Schizosaccharomyces pombe: one gene and its partners. Changing the gene in region 1 together with any one later gene gives a genetic interaction. Each region holds a gene or a part of one and is shown in the gene's direction. Other genes may lie near its edges.

Evidence for each region.
Region 2: mutations in nrk1 (region 1) and asl1 together harm fitness more than expected from each alone (negative genetic interaction), as found in Schizosaccharomyces pombe (one large-scale study listed by BioGRID).
Region 3: mutations in nrk1 (region 1) and rps1701 together harm fitness more than expected from each alone (negative genetic interaction), as found in Schizosaccharomyces pombe (one large-scale study listed by BioGRID).
Region 4: mutations in nrk1 (region 1) and pvg2 together harm fitness more than expected from each alone (negative genetic interaction), as found in Schizosaccharomyces pombe (one large-scale study listed by BioGRID).

Annotation. Positions count from the first base shown.
Region 1 is NC_003423.3:1,442,593-1,446,450, forward strand, and holds nrk1 (nicotinamide riboside kinase), read left to right. Parts: upstream 1-1,972; coding exon 1,973-2,004; exon of another isoform or gene 2,005-2,058; coding exon 2,059-2,083; exon of another isoform or gene 2,084-2,185; coding exon 2,186-2,254; exon of another isoform or gene 2,255-2,306; intron 2,307-2,428; coding exon 2,429-2,795; intron 2,796-2,881; coding exon 2,882-3,081; 3' UTR 3,082-3,339; downstream 3,340-3,858. Other genes in the region: Prp19 complex WD repeat protein Prp5, read left to right, coding at 3,520-3,858. UniProt on the Schizosaccharomyces pombe protein: Catalyzes the phosphorylation of nicotinamide riboside (NR) and nicotinic acid riboside (NaR) to form nicotinamide mononucleotide (NMN) and nicotinic acid mononucleotide (NaMN).
Region 2 is NC_003424.3:191,397-195,947, reverse strand, and holds asl1 (O-glucosyl hydrolase Asl1), read left to right. Parts: upstream 1-1,897; 5' UTR 1,898-2,059; coding exon 2,060-3,652; 3' UTR 3,653-4,020; downstream 4,021-4,551. Other genes in the region: mevalonate kinase Erg12, read left to right, coding at 366-440, 690-1,829.
Region 3 is NC_003423.3:602,941-606,083, reverse strand, and holds rps1701 (40S ribosomal protein eS17), read left to right. Parts: upstream 1-1,678; 5' UTR 1,679-1,706; coding exon 1,707-1,709; intron 1,710-1,713; exon of another isoform or gene 1,714-1,955; intron 1,956-1,987; coding exon 1,988-2,380; 3' UTR 2,381-2,527; downstream 2,528-3,143. Other genes in the region: protein new20, read left to right, coding at 1,164-1,351, 1,507-1,666; protein new14, read right to left, coding at 2,528-2,770. UniProt on the Schizosaccharomyces pombe protein: Component of the ribosome, a large ribonucleoprotein complex responsible for the synthesis of proteins in the cell.
Region 4 is NC_003424.3:4,018,251-4,022,593, forward strand, and holds pvg2 (Golgi 4,6-pyruvylated galactose (PvGal) residue biosynthesis protein Pvg2), read left to right. Parts: upstream 1-1,624; 5' UTR 1,625-1,831; coding exon 1,832-3,001; 3' UTR 3,002-3,804; downstream 3,805-4,343. Other genes in the region: Tf2-6 (retrotransposable element/transposon Tf2-type), read left to right, coding at 4,242-4,343. UniProt on the Schizosaccharomyces pombe protein: Involved in cell wall biogenesis. Has a role in the addition of Gal-beta1,3 moeities to galactomannans and their subsequent pyruvylation. Has a role in meiosis.

The DNA of each region.
Region 1 (3,858 bases):
GGCACCAACAAATTAAGACGTTGTCAACTTGGTTAAGACAATTTGTTATGTAGATTTTTTATTTACAATTGCACAATTAAAGGCTCCAAAAAATTTGGGATATCTTAGGTTTTCCACATGCTGGTTTACGAATGGAAGGTTTGTAAGGAAAAGTAAATAAATGAAGTTCGTAACAATGCGTTATAAGAAAAGGAAAGCACATAGTAGAGTAAGTGGATTTTTGGACTAAACAACAGAAGTAGTATCTTTACAAAAACAATATTGTTTAAAAATTGACTTTTCTGAGATTATTTGTCCACGATCAGTTTAGTACATTGGTAATATCCATACATTGATGCATTGTTTACAGACATGTGGATAGATTTGAAATTCTATGAGGATAAAAGTTCATTGCCAACTTCGAATCTTGAGCTTCACTTGACGTTCCTCACTGATATAGTATTTTTTTTTATTTAATTGATTGTCAGTGTTTCGTCGTTTCGCTGTTAATTGAAAGGATGAGAAGAATTTATGCAAAGAGTATTATTTTATAATCTCTTTGAAAACTTACTATTCATAATCCGTAGTTTTACGTCTCATATTAGATTGATATAATGAACAAAGGTAGAGATCGGTACGGCTTTTTTTATTTTTTTATTAAACCAAAAGGTCTTTTAATTTCCTAATTACATTGGCATTCAATACAGATCCATTGAAATTCGATCAATATTGATTTCATTTTTAAAATAGTGTCCTTAAATTTCCTTAATGTTTGAATTCAGTATTTATTATTATTACTAATTCTATTGTTTCATCCAATTTACATGCAATTTATAGCTTTATTATATTTTATTTATTTTTTTATTTTTTTTTTGGAAAAGCAATTGAAGCTAGTCAAATTGGAAAACTGAAGCCAAACACCTAGTGTTAAAAAATTTTATATTTACTAAGTGTAGTACTACAAAAATCGTTTAACAAGGCCTCAAGAAACTCAACCAATATACATATATTTTTTAAATTCATCGAAATATTCGCATTTCATGGAGTTGATAAAAACTTTGCTACCGTAGAACTAAGTAAGTGTAATGTAAACAATAAGCAAAAGACATTAAAACGACTTAAAAAATGAAAATAGCAAACTAATATTATTCAGACATAGTTTATCACAAATTTGAAAGGAAAAAGCAATAATTAATAAAATAATTTTCGCAAAACAATTAAAGAATTCCAATTTCCTACATACTTTGGCTAAATAAATAAAAAAAGTGAACCACTTTTTTTTATCTAATCAAAAAATATATATATTTTAAACAAAAATTGTATTTTTTACTCTTATTATCTACCCTATCTTTTCGTAAAGGATACATGACGGGAGCGGATTAGTATATTGCTATCATCCAAAGCCTTGTATTATTGACTGATTATACTACTAACCATATCTTCATACTACCAACTCCAGCCTTCCTCCTATTTCACTCTTGTTTTAAACGATCAATAACTCAAAACACCATTAATCTTTACCGGGCATATTTGCCATATAAAAATTCTTATACGTATTCGAAAGCGTTAATATTTGGTGAATTTAAATTATCTTTCAAATCCTCCATTTATACCGTAAAGAATTTGTATACTCCTTTCTTTTTCCATTTTCTTATACTTGCGAAATCGTTATAAGTGATCTTTTACTTGTTCTTGTATATCTAAAAGTTTTGTTGGTTGTTATAAAATTTTGTGGATTCGGCTTCTTTACCACATATCTTTTTAAAATTCTCGTTTATTTCCATAACAAATAATCATCGAGCTTGATTTAAGATACTAGGCGCTTTGTTTAAATCCAAATTCTTTTTAAAATTCGGTTAACCTGTCTTACAGCTTTTGGCTGGTAATTAATTAATTGTGTTGTGCAAATATAACAGACCGAATTCCAGTATCCAGCTTCTGTCCAGGCTTCTTGTCTCAATTTTTACCTTCATTTTTCCATATTATCATTAGAATGACTCGGAAAACTATCATTGTTGGGGTTAGGTAAGTTCTACAGGCAATTGTTTTAATGAATTTTTATTAACAAGAAAAAATTAGTGGTGCCTCTTGTAGTGGAAAATCGGTATGATAATTTTGATTAATAAGAAAGAATAAAATAAAATCAAAAACTCCAAAATAAAAAAAAAATGAAGTACTAACCAATTTCTCTTTCTTGTTTTGACAGACTCTATGCCAGCTTTTACATGCCATTTTTGAAGGATCTTCTCTCGTTCATGAAGATGATTTTTACAAGGTTCGTTTAGATTATTTCGTCTATTTGCCTAGTCGTGCGAATTTTGCAAGTGTCATAGAATAAATCGTACCCTCGTTTTAAAAACCGATGGTTGAATCTTATCGATGAAGCAAACACTGTGTTTTTATGTAGTGCCAAAGCACCTATTGATATACTAACTCGTTTGTTTTGTAGACTGATGCTGAGATACCAGTCAAAAACGGCATTGCCGATTGGGATTGCCAAGAGTCGTTGAATTTAGACGCTTTCCTTGAAAATTTGCATTATATCCGTGATCATGGCGTGTTACCTACTCACCTTCGAAATAGGGAAAATAAAAATGTTGCTCCTGAAGCCCTAATAGAATACGCTGATATAATTAAAGAATTCAAGGCACCGGCCATTCCAACTTTGGAACAGCATCTCGTTTTCGTAGACGGATTTATGATGTACGTTAATGAAGACCTTATAAACGCATTTGATATTCGACTGATGCTGGTGACCGATTTTGATACGCTTAAGCGTCGTAGAGAAGCCCGTACTGGTTATATAACGTTGGAAGGTAAGAATTCAACTATCCAGATAAAACATAACACCTGTGTTTAATCGTTGTACCTTTCAGTTAAGGCTAACTCCAAATTGTTCCAGGATTTTGGCAAGACCCCCCACATTATTTCGAAAATTATGTTTGGCCTGGCTATGTACATGGTCATTCCCATTTGTTTGTCAATGGCGATGTGACAGGGAAATTGCTTGATAAGCGTATACAGTTAAGCCCTTCTAGTAAAATGTCTGTGAGAGATAACGTCCAATGGGCCATTAATTCAATTTTGAATGCTTTACAATGATCCGTTTTGATCTATCTTTTCTTCGACTTGTATTTTCTGAGTACTACCTGACTTATACACAAATCCTCTCTACCGCTTCTTTTTTTTCTTTTTAGACAAGACTACCTGTGCATGATTTACTTTTTAAATTCAGGGTTAATTAATTACTTTCCATCATTTCCTCCTCTCCATATATTTATTGCTACTATCGCTTTTAGAACATCATGTTATTAATAATCCGTAACTAGACCGTTTAATAAATGTATATATATTACAAACTTTTATTACTTGATAACCATCCCTTTTTTTATTTTGACAATTCATTTGTAAGCTACTTTATTCTCAAATATTAGTACTTAATATTTCTCGTTCGCTAATGTTCGTGGATTATGATGCTTCAAATAAGTCAGTCCAACTGCCATCTACCTACAAATCCTCTACCAAAAATTTAACAGATTTATGACAGAAGCAAAAAACATATCGGATGATACAGATGTACTTTCTTTGACTACAAATAGTCTTAGAACATCAAAAACTCTTTTTGGAGCCGAGTTTGGGTCAGTTACCAGTTTTGACGATACTGTAGCTCAAAATCTCAAAAGAACATACAAAGAACATTTAGAATATGGTTCTGTTCTTGGAGGAACTGTTGGAAAACGGAAGAACCGACATTACGAAGAAGACACTATTGGTAGTAATGCTTTGACGGTTAGAGCAGACAGTGAAAACCCTTCCTCCCAAGTGATCACCAAGTTTTCAGATCCTAATAAGAAAATAGCAGGGCAGGTTTCCATGCAA
Region 2 (4,551 bases), on another chromosome or scaffold:
TGTTATCAATACTCATCATATATGTACTTGCTCTTGCTTTCTTGCTATAAGCTATAAATGTAGTATTTTATGGTTTTATGTAAATGTCTAACGAGTTTTGCGCTGTATACCTCGTTTAAAAAGTCATTTTCCTTAGCGCATATGAAAACTATAACATCGCGATTTTTATTACAAAAGAACTTTTAAAACAAAATCAAATAAAGTAACTTTTTAATTAAAATACCAATCTTTTGCTACAACTTCCAATACCATCATCACCTTGTCCTGTTTGCGTAGATATCTGTCGATAACCAACCTTCGTCGCCTATTTACCATCACCTTATTTTAACTGTGTTTTGAAGTTGAACGTAAAAAAAATTTCTGAAATGTCAAAATCGCTTATTGTTTCGTCGCCAGGAAAAACGATTTTGTTTGGGGAACATGCCGTTGTATATGGAGCTGTAAGTTTACCTAAGGTTTAAAGCAGATTACATTAGCGAGAGTTTTTAACAGGCTAGTACTGGATACAGCTCTGTTATGCATATATGATTTCTTTGTAACATAGTATTTGCAAAGCGAACACCACTTTTAACTTTGACAGTCGTCGCAAATGTCATTCTGCTATAGCCATGCTTATTTTTGATTCTAATCTTAAGCCATTTTAAAGCGAAAATATGGAGATCATTTAAATTTTTATGCTAACTTTCTAGACTGCGTTAGCTGCAGCTGTATCGTTACGGAGTTACTGTAAATTACAGACGACTAATAACAATGAAATAGTAATTGTGATGAGTGATATAGGGACCGAACGCCGATGGAATCTTCAATCGCTACCTTGGCAGCATGTAACAGTGGAAAACGTTCAGCACCCGGCATCATCTCCCAATCTGGACCTTTTACAAGGATTAGGAGAGCTATTAAAAAATGAAGAAAACGGACTTATTCACTCAGCAATGCTTTGTACCCTTTACTTGTTCACGTCTTTGTCTTCTCCTTCTCAGGGTTGTACTTTAACTATTAGCTCCCAAGTACCTTTGGGTGCTGGATTAGGTAGTAGTGCTACTATATCAGTTGTTGTCGCTACAAGTTTACTACTAGCTTTTGGTAATATTGAACCTCCTAGCTCAAATTCTCTTCAAAACAACAAAGCACTTGCGTTGATAGAGGCTTGGTCTTTTCTAGGTGAATGCTGTATTCATGGAACACCAAGTGGTATTGATAATGCAGTAGCAACAAATGGAGGACTTATCGCTTTTCGTAAAGCTACAGCTCATCAGAGTGCCATGAAAGAATTCTTAAAGCCTAAAGATACCTTATCTGTTATGATCACTGATACCAAACAACCAAAAAGTACTAAAAAACTTGTACAAGGAGTTTTTGAACTGAAGGAAAGACTACCAACTGTGATTGACTCAATAATAGATGCAATCGATGGCATATCAAAGTCTGCCGTCCTCGCATTGACTTCGGAGAGCGATAAAAACTCCTCCGCTAAAAAGTTAGGAGAGTTTATTGTTCTTAATCAAAAACTCTTAGAATGCTTGGGTGTATCCCATTATTCCATTGATCGCGTTTTACAAGCCACTAAGTCAATTGGATGGACGAAGCTTACAGGTGCCGGTGGTGGAGGTTGTACGATTACTTTATTAACACCTGAGTGCAAAGAAGAGGAATTTAAGTTATGTAAAGAATCACTATTAGCCCATAAAAATTCTATTTACGATGTTCAATTAGGTGGACCTGGTGTTTCAGTGGTAACCGACTCAGATTCATTTTTCCCTCAATATGAGTCTGACTTTGATTTTAAAAAATTGAATTTACTCAGCAAATTTAATAAATATTATATTTAAAGTTTTTATGTATAATCAAATTTTCATAACTGGTATATATATGAGTGGCTTGATAATGAACGCGGCTTGTCGTTCACCAACCACCACAGTAGAAGCTAGTCTATAAGAGTCGTTGTCCGTTCTTTAGCAACACTCCTTTCCACTCTTTTATATATCAACTATATACCAAATTTCATCTTTTCTTTCTTTTTTTAGTATTAGACGCGTTTTATCTAGTATTTTCTAAAAAAATGCGTACTACTTTCGCGACCGTCGCTTTAGCTTTTTTATCGACCGTTGGAGCTTTGCCCTATGCTCCTAACCATCGCCATCACCGTCGTGATGATGATGGCGTTTTAACCGTGTATGAGACTATCTTGGAGACTGTTTATGTTACCGCAGTTCCTGGTGCTAACTCATCTTCCTCATATACTTCTTACTCCACTGGTTTAGCTTCTGTTACCGAGTCGTCCGACGATGGTGCTTCAACGGCTTTACCTACTACCTCTACGGAATCTGTGGTTGTAACAACCAGTGCCCCTGCTGCTAGTTCCTCTGCCACTAGCTACCCTGCCACTTTTGTTAGTACTCCTCTATATACTATGGACAACGTTACTGCACCCGTATGGTCCAATACTTCTGTCCCTGTATCAACTCCCGAGACATCTGCCACTTCTAGTTCTGAATTTTTCACTTCGTATCCTGCTACCAGTTCCGAATCTAGCTCTTCTTATCCTGCTTCTAGTACTGAAGTTGCTAGCTCTTATTCTGCTTCTAGTACTGAAGTTACTAGTTCTTATCCTGCTAGCTCTGAAGTTGCTACGTCAACTTCATCCTATGTGGCTCCTGTCTCGTCTTCAGTTGCTTCTTCATCAGAGATATCAGCTGGCTCTGCTACATCTTACGTCCCCACTTCCTCATCATCTATTGCTCTTTCTTCTGTAGTTGCAAGTGCCAGTGTTTCTGCTGCTAACAAGGGAGTTAGTACTCCTGCTGTTTCTTCAGCTGCCGCCTCCTCTTCAGCTGTCGTTTCCTCTGTTGTCTCTAGTGCCACTTCTGTTGCTGCTTCTAGTACTATTTCCAGTGCTACCTCAAGCTCTGCATCAGCATCTCCTACTAGTTCTTCAGTTTCTGGCAAGCGCGGTTTGGCCTGGATTCCTGGAACTGACCTTGGTTACTCTGATAACTTTGTCAATAAGGGCATCAACTGGTATTACAACTGGGGTAGTTATTCATCTGGTCTGAGTTCCTCTTTTGAATATGTTCTCAACCAACATGATGCCAATAGCCTTTCTTCAGCTTCTTCTGTTTTCACTGGTGGTGCTACCGTCATTGGATTTAATGAGCCTGATTTGTCCGCTGCTGGAAATCCTATAGATGCAGCTACTGCAGCTAGTTATTATCTTCAATACTTAACACCTCTTCGTGAATCTGGTGCCATTGGTTATTTGGGATCACCTGCCATCAGTAACGTAGGTGAAGATTGGCTTTCTGAATTCATGAGCGCATGCTCTGATTGTAAGATCGATTTCATTGCTTGCCATTGGTATGGTATTGACTTTAGCAATTTGCAAGATTATATTAACTCTCTCGCCAATTACGGTCTCCCTATTTGGCTTACTGAATTTGCTTGCACCAACTGGGATGATAGCAATTTACCTTCATTGGATGAAGTTAAGACTTTGATGACCAGCGCTCTTGGCTTTTTAGATGGACATGGATCTGTTGAGCGTTACAGTTGGTTTGCTCCTGCTACCGAACTCGGAGCCGGTGTTGGTAATAACAATGCCCTTATCAGTTCCTCTGGTGGATTAAGTGAAGTCGGAGAGATTTATATTTCTTGAACTCCTTAAATTTACACAAAATGGGAAATTATCTTGTGAGATATAATGGTAATTCTTATGCTTTTTTTTCGTTCTTTAAACTGTCAAATACTCTTATTTCTTCTTGCTCTGAAACTCTTTTTTATGATATTTTGTTTCATGGTTTTTGTCGCTTTTTTTTGAATACTCTGCCATCTATCAGATTGTTTAAGCTTTCTGAACTATGCTTATAGGAGATGTGCTTCTTATTACATCGATCTTTCATTTATTCATTCGTTTATTTTACCAACCATGAAGTTCATTGTGTTTGATGTCACAATTTTTAAAGCGTGTATTCAATGAATATGCTGCGTGTTTTAATTTAATACAGTCGTTAAATGTCTTTTAAATTTTATTAGTAATCTTTTCTGTAAGCTTTGGAACTCTTGATAAAGTCGTTTAACTTTATTTGCTGACATTGTTGATGATCTGTAGTATAAAGGTAAATAATAAGCGAAAGTCTCGTCTATAAAATGAAAACAAATGCATAATTGACTGCTGTAATGATAAAACAACTATTTCTCCATTGCGCCATTGTGGGTGGTTTGATATCTGGGTGTTCTTTACATGCTTGTTTGCCTCTTTTCAAAAGGAGGTCTTAGCAACTTTGGACACACGAACAAGAAAAGGCTTATTGAACTATAGGATATTAGAAGCATGAGCAATTTAAGAGACATCACAAACTTAATTAGCAGATATTAAAAGAAAAAGTTATCTCGAATCTCTTGCGAAAAATTTATTAAAGTAACCTTTTTTTTGCATAGTTCTTTGCAGCAGATTTAACTTACGCCGAGTAATCTAGTACTAGATTCTTAACCTGCTCTACTCACTGTAATCATAAAAAGAAACTCTACTCATGCCCCTCTTACAAATGTTTTCAA
Region 3 (3,143 bases), 840 kb from region 1:
AAGCCAATTTTCGCTCACATGCTGCTGTGCAAAATAATGAAGGAACAAAACAGCAACCTTTAATATGTTTTCGGACTTATCGCTTGTTGCAGCACTTGAAGATTGTTTTGAAAAAAGGTGTTCTCATCTAGCCTGTCTGTTAATTGTAAATAGAAAACTCTAAAAAGAAGACACTGCGAACTTTGCTTCGAGCATATGCGGGGAACTATATAAGAGAATATACCAAAAATCTTTTTAAGGATGTTTTGAGAATTTAACTGAAAGGAGCACATTTACAAAATTTGAGATACATACATTAGTAATACATTTAGTTTCAAAAAAAATGCTTTTGGCATGAGTTCTTACTGTGTTTTTTTTTTAAATCATTTGTGGGCTAAGTAAATAGATGTACCGGTTTCGAGCAGAAGCCGATTAAGCAATAACACCTTTTCCTAAATCCATTTGTACTTGATTGACTCCCATATGAGACTATATATTCGTTCATACTAGGAAAAGTGCAAGGTACGAATAATTTCAATGCGCAGTTACAACAGATGCACGGGTGGATTTGGCACGAATCAAAGAACTCTGGTTAAAAATTTAATTTTTAAAAAATCATTTCCATAGAATCCCCCTTCTTTAATTTCAATGAAATTAGCTATAAACATATATACTACAAATGGAATTATATAACGATATCCGCCGACAAGCGTAATGTGCGACTTCATCAATGGGTAGGCTATATAAAGAATGCAAATGCTTATTTAATTGAAATATTGGATATTATTACCTATTCTATATTTCGTATTGCTGCTAGTTAGAGGTCGGCAATTTTAACACTCAAACCCTTTATTCATTCACTCATTTCAGCTTGAATTAATAAGCAGCAAATTTCGCCAACTCACGCCTCTCAACTAAGCCTGTAGCTCTCTCTTTAGAAGACATCGGAGGTTCGCACATAACAAGCAGTCTAGTATTGAGATACAAAATTTTTTTTTTTATCTTACTGTACCGAAAATTTGAACAATTTAAACTTTGCGCACAAAAATTTCAATACCTTGTAATTCGTAATTTTCGTTCTAATTGATAAAACTGCGATATCGTTATAGTAATACTGATCTGCTACACACAACTTAAACTGCAAGACTATTATAAAACGACATCTTCTTAGGATCGTTCACTTCATGAGTAATCAAGGAAAGGATTCTTTTAAAGCCTATTCATATTTTTGCCCGTGTGGTCAACTTTTTTTAACCATACATGTCTCTCTTACTCGTCTTCCGCAACGGCAACTAGATAAACGCCATGTTGTGGACGAAAAATTAAATCATATAGCACATTTCTCCACAGGCAACAAATATTACATTACTAGGTAAGTTGTTTTAACTTATCGTTCCTTATATAAACACATAAGCACCTGGTTTGTTGTTGGTTGATCATACATGTGGAAATTTTTTATTTGTTTACTGATTTTCGGAACGAAAATTTAATTTTCTCCACACATTAATTCACTAACCATCACAACAGAAGCGACGGAGGTTACGAACAACGAATACAGCTTTTATGTCGCAGATGTACACTGGAATGTGCATACGCTTTAGAAGCGGCGCCCGGTTACATATATGTGGACCCTACCCTAGTTAATGAAAAACCAGTCACAGTGTCGGTTTCTAACTTGAAAGAATAACCAAAGGAATTCAACCACTTCCATCTCGAATAACTTCAAAATGGTAAGTAGTTATAAAGCATGGTTGGAGTTGCAAAGTCGAAGCTCTCGGTCTATTTGAACAAAATTTACTCTTTAGTTTTGTAGCTTACTAAAGCCATAAATTGACGTTTTTTCTATGCGGCAAATATAAACATTTACTTAAACGTAGGTTCTCTTCACATGGTCCATTTGAATACACATAAAATTTTTTTTCTTTCATTCATGCTTCTCTTTGCAATCCTAATCCTTACGTTTATCTACGAAATTGATTTTTTTTGTGCATAACTAACATTCCTCTAGGGTCGTGTACGTACCAAAACTACCAAGAGAGCTTCCCGTGTGGTAATTGAAAAATATTACCCTCGTCTCACTCTTGATTTCCAAACCAACAAGAGAATTGTTGACGAAGTCGCTATCATCGCCTCTAAGCGTCTTCGTAATAAAATTGCCGGTTACACGACTCACTTAATGAAACGTATTCAACGTGGTCCCGTTCGTGGTATCTCCTTCAAGCTTCAAGAAGAGGAGCGTGAACGCAAGGATCAATACGTTCCTGAAGTTTCTGAGCTTGAGGTCGATCGTGTTAACGTTGACCAAGACACCAAGGACATGCTTAAGTCTCTTGGCTACGATCAAATTCCCGTCCGTGTGCTTGCTCCTGCCCCTCAAGAGCGTTTCCGTCGCAGACAGTAAATGAAATTTCGGTCGTAATGGGTCCATTTATACTTTTCAGTGCATAATTTGCCATTACTTGGCTTCATCTTTGTTTTCCTTTGATGTAGTTATTAAAATACTATTCAATGCGAATTTTTTGTATTTAAATTTCATCGTATTGTAAGGCTATTTTTTTTTGCTTCCCTTATATTGCAGTGTTTTTTTTAAGTTATTTAGCTTCCACATTCTTTGAGTAGAGAGATATATAAGAAGCAGATCAACATGTTCTTCTAATATGTTGGAATTGAGTAATATAGCATATGTTGATAAATTTTTTAGTATCCGTGCAATAGTATTACATTTAATAATTAAATGAAATGTGTTACCTGCTTTCTCTAAGTTTTCAATGATTTTTTCTTTTTTTTGCATTTATTTTGTGTTTGTGCAATAAACATTTTCATTATATTTTTGTTTGTGCAATAAACATTTTCATTTCTAAAACGTATCAATTGTCCTTAAATGAATTTTTATCAACACAGCAACATGTCAAACAGTGGCAGATGAATGTCTAATTTCCAAGGAAATTCATCATGATTAAAATTATTATTAATGACCCTTTTTTTACCCAAAAACATCTTTACGACATCGTTTACATGCTCAACCTCTTGTACCTATTATATTCTGTTTTTAAAAAATAAAAGAGATATACGAGCATAAATAAAACAGAGCCAACTATCCCTTTTATTTATTTTTATTTTTTGCATGTTTTATTAAAATAAATAAGCTATTCCTTTTTAACATT
Region 4 (4,343 bases), on another chromosome or scaffold:
GTATATTTTAGGACTGCTGTCAGTAAACGTTAGTAATCGAAAACGAATATAATTCTTTAATTCATTGAGAATACAGCAGGGAAACCAGCAAGTGGAGAATACAGTGACACAGACGGTGCCTTGACGTACGTTAGTGGTGTATGTATATCGAAAACTAAGCTTGGTTTTGGATAATTGCTTTCTTCATGATTAATATGATTAATTTAATATCTTAGTAAAAATTCCTAATCAGTAGTTTAAGTCGTTTATTGGTTAAAAATAGAATGGTAGAATAAGACAAGTGATACACTAGGAGCTGATATTTAGTATACGCATAGACCCAAATTAATTCAAATGCTAGTATTTTTTGACTGTATAATAGTTTCTTCAAAAAGAGCTCTAGCAGCACTTCACAAAGGCCTAAAAACAGTAAAAAGATTGAAACTAGTGTATACAAAAATTAGGTGAGAAAATAAGATTGCATTCAGGAATTGATCGAGTCGAATTTTGTATTACCTTCAAGTATTTATCTTCCAGCAATGCGAAATCAAACTCATGTCAATGATTAAATAGAATAAAGAATCAATGCTGAATTTCTTTGAAATTGTTTTACGATATACGGTATAAAGAAGGATAAGTGTTTAAGATTCGAAATAGTGCTTTTTTAAAGAGATAATGATGTATTCCTTAAAATGATGCTGCACGGGATATTTCTTTGTTTAGCAATAAAGTAATTTGTGCCATTTACTGTTTCAATTTTTTCCAATATTTTTTTTTTTTTAAATTTGTTGTAATAATTTTTTAATTAAATTTTTTTTAAACAAGATATTCTAGCATATGCTGGCTAATTTTATTTTATTTACATATTTTTTAAATATTTAATAAAGTTTAACTATTGCTTCAATTTTTTCAAATACCTATTGAAAATGATTTTGAGCTGAATCACTGAGTGAATAAATCGATCCTTACAATAGCAGGCAATTGACAAGTTATAAGAAATTTAGTTGGAATCATTACATAGTTGCATTTTTAGAGTAACTGAATTTGAGTCATACACACATAAACTGAGTTCTTAAATGACTACGATAACCTCAGAATTACACACACGGTCATAGGGTAGGACATAGCTGGAATCTAAAAAATAAAAAAAAAAATACTGTATGTAATGCACAATATTATAGAATTTGTAGGAACTATAGAAAACAGATAATCCATAGATGCTTTGAGTAGGGATAAATCAACAAATAAAAGCATTTAAAACCAATTCGTATTTTCTTGATGCTTTGTTTACATACTTACTATGTACTGAGTATCTTATATCTACGCATCAGATAATCTACAGTAGTGCAAAGAGAATGCGTTATAAAATCTGAAGTTTCAAAGTTCATACTTGGTATATTTTGGGATGTCTACACTATAAAAGAGAATCTAAACCTCGATTAAAAAGATGGTCGTTCATAAGAAAATAAATGGGTCGGTAAAAGTTTCAATTTGTAATCATTGATTGCAAGCCCTGCTCATTTCCTAGGAAAACCATGACATAGTGATTTGCAAATATAAGTTTGCAAAATAGTATAATGAAACGCAGCGTAGTTGTAATCACAAAGACGCGGTTTTTGTGACATTTTGAACACACTACTCTAGTACGAACCATACTGACAAAGAAGTGTGCGGTTTGGTTTCACAATCCTTTATCTACTCATCTGTAATTCCTAACTCAGGCGCTTATTAAATTATTTAAAATCTGTGGAAATAATTGCGCCTTAAATGCATTAAAGCTCATTTGCACTTATAATATACTGTATAAATTAAATTGAATTCGACGTGAAATAAGCAGAAAAAAGGAGGAAAAATGACTAAACTCTGGGTAAATTTTTTCAGCCAGAAATTATTAAGGCTTTTAATCCCATCAATAATAGTGGTATTTGCTTTCGCTGCTCTATTTGCAATATACAGTCCCATTCAACTTGGAGGCATCAATTTCTATAAAAGAACCAACTTATTTACCGTTGAAGAATTGGGCGAAAAAGAATTGGAACTATCTAAGACCGTTACTATCGATATATACAGAAAAGCAATGTGCATGGATGATTTGGAGCAATCGCGCAAATGTACAACGTTCGGTTTGGATCCACCGATTTCTGCTCACTTATTTTACACATATAACCGTGATACGGGTATGAATAGAGTTGCGAGACAATGGAATCGAAGAATTCCAAGGGTATTTCATACCATTAAGGGATCTAATTTCATTGAATTGTCTCAATTCACGGCATTTGAAGTCGAACTTCGCGTAAGCCACCCAAATTGGGCTTTTGTTAGTTGGTCACATGATGATTTAAACGAATTAGTTGACAAATCATATCATAATCTTCATAATGCCTGGTCTCAGTTATCGCGTGAAGCTAAAGATCAGTGGGGATTTTTATTGGGATTGTATGAGTATGGCGGTGTTTGGATGTCTCGTTCTTTACAGCTTAAAAAAAATATTGATAAATTTGTTTATGCGGCGGAGTTATCCGTAAAACAATTTACAGAAAATATCACATCTTCGACTGTTGAGGAGTTCCAACCGATTTTTATGGCCCCAAAGTCCCTACAGTATGACTTTATGATTGCTACTCCTAAGCATCCGTTTGTTCTCTCTCTCATTAACGAACTTTGCAAGTCGGAAGTTTTATTAAAAATCCTTTCTAAAAGGCCCTATCATGGTCTTGATGCAGCTGAAGCGTTGTTTGCAGAAAACCGAGAGTCTATTACAATTCGTGAGCAAGAATTCTTTGTCAACACTTATATCGATGACGGGAAAGTTTTTGTGAAGAATAACCCTCACATCATTTTTATCCCAACAGAAGCCTTTGCTTCAACTTGGGACTTCCTTCCTAGTGAAGAATCTTCTGAAATGTGTTTCGCCGACTCTCCCCTGTTTGACCCTGACTATTGCATTAGCCACAGTTCAAAACCGGATGGGAACGAACTTGCCATATACTGGTCTAATTCATTCGACTTGATAACTGCTTGATGATATTATGATGTTTCATCTTTTTATCTTTTCACAAATTTAATTTCATTCAGCAAACAATAAACCTGACTTGATCCTTTAACTTTTTTTTTCTCTCTAAGGTATCACCTACAGTTATGTGCGTTTCTTCCTAATCATAGTTTTTATTTAATACTATTGCTAAGCATCCGTTTTATAATCAAATATTTTCTGTCGTGGAACTGTCCTGCAGCTTGTTTTTCTAATGTGCCAACTATGTCTTTACATTTAATGTTCTATGGTTCTATTGTCTTTCTTTCTTTTTTTTAGTTTTTTATTTTATCAGATCTAGGAAAAGCTTGTTTCTTAGTTTTTTAAATTCGATCCTTCATTTATTGTTCAACTGTAAAGTTTGTGATACTTTTATAGCTACTAACAGGTAATCAATCTTGTTCTCTCCTCTCTAGATTTCATTTTATTACAAATTAATGTTATTTAGGCAACAGCTTTTTCCTAATCGATTATTAAGCTTTAGAAAATACTATTTTTGAATTGAACCCCTTGCCAATAATAAACCAACTATTGAGCTCGGTTCTTATTCTAATTGTATTTGTAATAGTGAACTAAGTATGCTAAAGGATTCCTTGTTTTTTAAGTCTTCCAGAAATCCAGAAAGAAGCTCAATCAAAACAGCAAATATTATTGGTAAGGAACAATTTCCTGATCATAATAATGGTAAATGAATTTGTCTCTTCAATTTTATTTTATGTCAGCAATACTACACTACGCTATAATACACTACGTTGAGTATCACTATATGTCACATGTTCTAATTATATATCGTACCATGTATGATACGATATGGAGATTGATCTTAATGATAATCTATTAAGATCAATATTATCTGAATACTATAAATAGAGCTACTGCTGAACCTCGTTCCTCAGTTCAGTTATGAGCTATATTAGTGATAGGTAACATTATAACCCAGTTAATACAATACCTATACTCAGTTGCTACTTATACAACCTGTGTATCGTAATATAATAGATCACAAGGAAAACTCACCGCAGTTCTACGTATCCTTAAATCAGATACCAAACTGCGTAGCTTACAATAACTGAACTCTTGTGATCTACAATTAACTCCTTTTAGGAAAAAGGAATTATTGAATAAATATATATCATAAATATATATATTTCTCTCCTTCTGGGTTCAAAGGAGAAGGAACTTTGGAAGGACTGTTATCCCTTTTGAAATCTCCCAAAGGGAAACATATACAATGTCCTACGCAAATTATCGTTATATGAAAGCAAGAGCAAAACGATGGAGACCAGAGAATTTGGATGGAATTCAAACATCAGACGAACATTTAATAAACCTT